2 linked regions of the Drosophila melanogaster genome follow. The protein of the gene in region 2 purifies or fractionates together with the protein of the main gene of each other region. This does not show direct contact. Each region holds a gene or a part of one and is shown on either strand. Other genes may lie near its edges. The genes, in order: CG8117 and Polr2F.

Region 1 (3,455 bases), on a different chromosome or scaffold from region 2:
CGATTTACTTGATACGCTTTTGCATTTTGTTGTTGCTTTACGACGGCGGATATTAATTAATTGGCCCGTCTCTGGGGAGCAATTCCCATTGTGCCCATCAAGAGTCCACCTATCATCCCAGTTCGCAGTCCAAACCTGAATCCCAAACCCATAATCCCATTCAATGCCGTTAATGTGGGCCATAAAGCAAATGCTTTAACGTCTATAATTTGTCTGCACTTGGAAACGACCCACGCATACTAAACATAGTATACTATACTATATATACCATCTCATCCAATTCAATTCAATCCAATTCAATCCCATCCGATCCCACCCACTCCGAGATCATCGCGCCGAATGATTCATTAAAGTGTAAAGTGCTAACTAATAGTCGAAAAATTCATTAAATTAACGCTCGCGCTATGCTCGTTTTTTATACAAGCAAACTCGTATATTGTTGAATGTTTATGAAACAAAGATTTGCTTTCTTTCGGACTTTCGGTGCTAGTTTATCTGCTTTCGCAGGCGAACAAAGGAGCATCCATCGATGATGGACTCATTGATACCCTCTGGTATTTAAAACGAATGAATAAGATTTTTATGACATGTAATATATTTCCATAATATGTATGTTGTATGTTGTATGTTGTATGTATTCTTGTTAAAGTATTATTTACATATTGTGGAAGCCAACGGAAGATCAGTCTGTTTATTGATATGAGATATTGTGAATTGTGTGAGTTCGTTTGCTTGGTATCCAGCCAAGACGGGTGACTCCTTCAAGGGACTCTCTCCACGGTTGTCTAGCTCTTCCAGCGGTTGCCGCACTCGTCGCATATCACAAAGGTGATAATGGGCTCGTCACCATCACGGATATGCAATTGGCTGCAGTTGCGTTTGTCGCAGCGTTCGCATTTGAACTGATCCGTCTTGGTGCCCTGAACCTTGGCCATCTGTGCCGCATTGATCGAGTCCTGAACGTACTTCTGGCGCATCTGCTTCATATCATCGCTGGCCATCTCCTCGGGCGTCATCTTGGATAACTCTTCGGGCGTTATTTGACCTAATAGGAACTTCTGGCGCAGCTCTGGATTCTTCGGATCGCGCAAGTTGGCCAAACGCGAACGTATGCGATTTTTGTACTTCACCTTGCAGCCGTTCAAGTCGCCGTAAATTGCGTCCTCCAGTTTAGCGGCCATGTCATCCGGATCGCCACATCCTGGTGGCATGTTGCCCGATTTCAATGCGGTTGCCAACATCTCGCGGCACTTGATGCGTATTTCCATGGACATGGCTGCAAAATCGAAAGAAAGTTTAGTGAATTTATTCAACGAAACCGGAAAGCACAATTTTTAGATTGTGAGAAGTTGAGAGGTCACTGAGAGATGTCTAAGCTGACAGGAACGGCAAGGTAAATGAAGGTTTTTACTCGGCAACTTTACAACCCAACTTGATTAAGGTCTAAATATTTCGGATTTATTATGCAATATTTCTACTTAATCATTTCTTAACCGTTGTGATTAGCATGTAATTAGTATGAATTTGAATAGATAAATCTACATATGTATAAATGTTCGATTTGGGAATCCCCTGCGTAATGCATCACTATTCCATAACGCCCGCTGTGGCCCCCAAGAAATGTGCTAAAATTGGACACTGAAAGGAAAACCAAACACAAATGAAAATCAAAATCGAAATGGAAATGATATTTCCCATTTAGTCTATATGTTTGTGTTTGTCGTTCCGCTTTCTTTGTGCGCCGCTGGCTTTTGATTTCGCTAATCGTCTACAACAAACAGCGCGGAGATGATCTAATTATTGACGCACGAATCCCGCAGAAGCACCAAAAACAAAAGGAAAATGAGTAATAAAAAAAAAAAGGAAAATGGGAAATGGAAAATTGAAATATTGAAAAGCCAAACAACAGTGACGAAGGGGGGGGGGGGGGGGTAGCCACAAAAAGTAGGAAAAAAGCCCAAGCGAGCGAAATTGAAAACAAAATCGAAATCATTATCCAAGTCATTAGCTTTTTAGCGAATCGTTCTTTTTATTGTTGCCGGATATAAATCTGCTAATGTACTTAACCACACAAACATCTAAAACACCCACCACCCAGCCACACCCCCGCTTGCCAACGTCCCACTTGGCTTCGCTTTCGTCCCACTGTGCGTGCGCGTTTTTCTAGCGTTTTTAAACGCCTCCGCCGACCTTCAACTGTTAAACTTGACGACCTCAGCGTAACGTAAACAGCCGCCATCGATTCGAAGCTACCCAAATATAAAGATACAAATGTATCTATCTATCAATGGTCTGGGGAATTGGTTCACGGCCGATTACTGACCTTGGCGGCCTTTTGTCTTTCACCTTTCGGCCAACAACGTATTTGGCTTGGTAAACAAGCCCCAGAACAATGGGTAAAACCTTGAACCTTTGTGGCCAATCAATTTCTCCAGATTGGCGAAAATAAAAAGAAAGTGTGTGGCCAACATGAGGGGCAACCAAAGAAAATTTAAGAAAATATCTCAAATATGTTCCTGTTTCAAACTACTGTTCAAAATACATTAGCTTTTGGATAACATTCTTGCAAAATCTTAAATCAAATTGAAGAAAAATCTTAAAAAACACAAATATAAGTAAATAAAGTTTGGACAATGTGGTTTATGTATAATATATTACAAAACATTTGAATGATTACATGAAGATCGATGAGGATTTACTAATAACTCCTGCAGAATCATCAATTATGTGTGAATAAAACTTAAAATGTCCCACTTAAATAGTTAAATTCCAGTACGCAGCAATTTTCCACTAATTTACCTCGATCAATTTGCATTTTCCAAGTTTTCTAAAGTCCAATTGTTGGTTGGTTGGCTGGCTGCCTGGCTGGATGGTTGAATCGATGGCTGGATGAACGTTTCCCATCGCCGGAGTGCAGTTACATTCGCTGCCTATTTGTCTCCCGTCGAAGCCAGCCCACTGCCACGCCCACCCGCCCGCTACGCCCCCGGCGTGGCATTCTTTCACCTTGGCTACGTGATGCCATGGCGTGATCGTGTAACAATGCGAGTGATTAGTACGCGCCGGCGTTCAAAATGCGCAATCCGCCGATGGCAGCGAACTTGCCTTTTTTTTTTTTTACCTTTTTTAACTTTTTTTTCACCGTCATCGTTTTTTGTTGTGTTTGTTGTTGTTGTTGGACTGTAGATGCAGTTTTTGGATGCCGCTTGGCCACAAGCGATTCATAAACGGGCTATATGTGTTTTTTGGGTCGACTGGGATGCAAAAAAATAAAGAAATGAAACAACAAATCAAAATATTCTGTTAGAACATTTATTGTATAAACATTTGAATCTCTTCATTAATCTTAAGAAATATATTTCCACTTTTATGTTAAATGTTTAATTATATTACAAGGAGTCTGATTAAGATATATTCGAATAAGGTTTAGTTTCATAAACATAACATACACACAC
Region 2 (3,388 bases):
CCGCAGCGCGCTAATCCTTCCGCCAGCAGCGTCTCCGTGTGGCAAGTGCAACAACTGTCCCTGCGGCACCAGCGGCGGAGCCCCACCCCCCCAGCAGCCGCCCCACAGGCCACCCCCCTCGTACGCCCACCAGCCGCAGCAGCAGCCGGACAGCTGTCCCTATCCGGGTCCGCGGGGCCAGGGAGCAGGCGGGTGCCAGGTCAACTCGACGCAGCCGCCGGGCGATCCCGCCGCATGCAGCCTCTACCAGAGCCGGGGAGCCCCCACCGTGGAGTGCACGTGCACTCAGAACCGTAGCCGGCCACCTCCGCCATCCGTTCAGGCGGACCACATCACGTGCAGCCGGGGTCCGCGGGAGCAGCCGCCTGCCCTGGAGACCCGCTGCACCTGTCGCGAGAAGCCCGCCAAGACGGAGTGCCACTGCGCCCCGCCGGTGGCCCCGCCTCCCAACCAACAGCAGCAGCAGGCGATGGCCCAGCCCACCTACGCCAACGTGACCTGTGGCCAGAACGTGCCCAGAGGACCGCAACCCTATCGCCCGCACCACGGCAACCAGAGTCAGAACCCGAACTCCTGCGGCCACTGTCGATCGCAGAAGAAGCAGAAGAAGTGCGTCATTCAGTGATCTGGATGTCGTGCCACGGGAGAACGTTGGGATCCCAGCAGGCGCTACGCAGCAGGCTACACAGATTATAACGCTCACAACATGACATGACAGTACTCCCAAATTTCAGGTTAGCCAAATTTCCAGTTTCGACCTGTTTTCCGGGTCAATAAAGCCAATGTGACCGCTAATGGGTAAAGTAAAACAGGTGGTATGTGTGTGTTCCTTTAATACATCAGCGTCTCCTTCCGGACAGGGAACAGTCCGAGCGCCTACCAGGTGGGTCGGAGGCCAGCGCAGCTCAGCTCCGGGCAGGACATCTGCAACTGCCGCGGAAGCCAGCGGAATCCGGAGCGGAATCGCAGTCGCCACTGCTTCGTGATTCGCTCACAGCGGCCACCAAAGGGCGTGGCTGCGGAAACCCGGTGCTGCTGCACTCCTCAAGCGCCGATAAGCCGTAGTTTACCTCCGCCCACTAAGATCCGCCAGCGATGCTGCTGTGCCTTAGCTCCGGAGCCCGCAAGGCAAATGGTTTGCGACACCTCCGGGAACAAGCCGCAGAGATGCTGTACCAATTGCCCAGGAAACGGACATAGTGGAGCAGCTGCGCGGAGGACACGGGTGTATCATTCGGATCCATACCCCATCGGGTTAGGCGAGAATCGGAAAGTGGCTTTGGAGGAGCCAATTCTGCTGCAGCCGGACCCACATTCTGAGATTCCATGCAGCGACTCCTCGCGATCGTTTCAGCCCGCCGTTCACGCGATAAATGAAAACTGCCAGGAACCCCAGGATCCCTACTATCCGTATCCTCCCAGAAGCACGCGTCAGCGGGAAGTGGATCCTCTAGCCAACTTCGATCTGAATCGCTTCGACAGGGAAGCCATCCATCGAGGCCCCGCTGGCAGACGAAGAAACGTCTCCATTCGCACCTGCGTCGACTACGACTACGAGCCGGGATATCTAGCTCCAAGCAGTCCGCCCGGAAATCGACATCCACCAGCTCCATCCGGATATTCTCCGGCATACCCCCCTTCGTACGAACCTAATCCAGCCGGTTGTCCCGCGGCATCTTTGCCCAGAACTCGCCCACCAACCGCATCACTCCAGCGTCCATATTATCACAGAACTCATCCGGGATTACAAGGTTTGTATTTTCCAAGTTATCCAGGAGCAGGCGACTAATATTCCCTTTTTTTATTAAGAAAATACTGAATTCGATTACGTTAAATGTCCGTTTAGATGAAGGGCTAAAATATAACAAACCAATAGGTAAGTGTTTCATTTGATTATTATTTAACTATTTATAATTTAAATTTTATGGAATCAACTACTCTAATTGGATTAAATTATTTTAGGAAGACGTATAAATCAGATTTTAGTAGTTTAAACTTTAAAATATTCAAATAGTCTAACCTTTATACGAATTCCACCAATTTCAAATACTCGCGACACAGACGGCTATTCGATAAGTAATCACTTTTCCATTTGCCAGAAATGCAGCCCTGAAAGTTTGAGAAGCACTGGAAGTTCTGCGCACTGTGCTCCAGTGCTGAAAACCGCATGCAGCAGTGTGAAAGAAGAAGAAGACTGCGACGCGTGCAAAACACGCCGCACTTTACTATTTAATTTCGATTAAAACAATAGAAAAGCAGTGATGGATGATGCGGACTACGACAACGACGAGTAAGTGCAGGCGTAACACAATCAATAGCTGTGCCCATTAATCACCTACTTAACAATTGCAGCGTTGGCGGCGATGACTTCGACGACGTCGACGAGGACGTGGACGAGGACATTAACCAGGAGGAGGAGGCGGACAACATCGAGATCATAGCTCCCGGTGGTGCGGGCGGAGGCGGTGTGCCCAAGTCCAAGCGCATTACCACAAAGTACATGACGAAATACGAGCGCGCCAGAGTTCTGGGCACACGAGCGCTTCAGATCGCCATGTGCGCACCCATCATGGTGGAGCTGGACGGGGAAACGGACCCCCTGCAGATCGCCATGAAAGAGCTGAAACAAAAGAAAATTCCCATCATCATCCGCCGATACCTGCCGGATCACTCCTACGAGGACTGGAGCATCGACGAGCTCATCATGGTGGACAACTAGCTAGTACTCAACCCCTTTATCCATAATAAATCATACCGCCTAAGATTAAGCACAATCAATTTGGCTGCTGAATTCCCGGGGACTTAATGTAATGACGAACTGCAAGCGCTAATTGCTACACGATAGTTATCTTGTAAGCAATCCCTTTGCTTTAATATTATCTCTTAATACCGCTATAATCTGAAGTAGCCACAGATACTTGCTACCATGCGATTAGTACGAAAAACAATGACACCACGGGCTTGCTATTCTACTACAATATTTTATTTCACATAACAGACGTACAGATTAGGAAAACAAAGCTGCTCTAGTGTGAGGAGCACTTGGTGTCTAGCTCCAAGCATATCCCTCATCTCTTTGATAGCAAACGCGCTCTAAAAGACCTACGGCATGTTGGCCCGTGCGGCAGATGGAGCCAACTACTGCCGGCAGCAGACCACACTCCGAAAGATTCTGCTCGCCAAAGACCTGCCCGGCGGCATCTTCTCCTTCCGCATCTGACTGTGGCGTCTCCGGAGTTTCAAGCAGCTTTTGGGTGGCCTTGCTAAAGGCCAGCGTATTGATGCTGCTGGCCAGCGTGGAGCTAAACATCTGGCGCGTCTCGGACAGCAGCTCCGCCACACTGGGCAGGAATGTAGGTAGGATTAGGCCCTTAATGTCTATGCTAAA

Evidence for each region.
Region 1: the proteins of Polr2F (region 2) and CG8117 purify together in Drosophila melanogaster (affinity purification with mass spectrometry, with the first as the bait; one large-scale study listed by BioGRID). This does not show direct contact.

The regions. Positions count from the first base shown.
Region 1 is NC_004354.4:15,642,110-15,645,564, reverse strand, and holds CG8117 (uncharacterized protein), read right to left. Parts: upstream 1,344-3,455; 5' UTR 1,275-1,343; coding exon 786-1,274; 3' UTR 574-785; downstream 1-573.
Region 2 is NT_033777.3:5,369,626-5,373,013, forward strand, and holds Polr2F (RNA polymerase II, I and III subunit F), read left to right. Parts: upstream 1-2,169; 5' UTR 2,170-2,261; coding exon 2,262-2,290; intron 2,291-2,352; coding exon 2,353-2,719; 3' UTR 2,720-2,772; downstream 2,773-3,388. Other genes in the region: CG31542 (uncharacterized protein), read left to right, coding at 30-625; CG34277 (uncharacterized protein), read left to right, coding at 795-798, 861-1,751, 1,810-1,850; hd (humpty dumpty), read right to left, coding at 3,050-3,388. UniProt on the Drosophila melanogaster protein: DNA-dependent RNA polymerases catalyze the transcription of DNA into RNA using the four ribonucleoside triphosphates as substrates.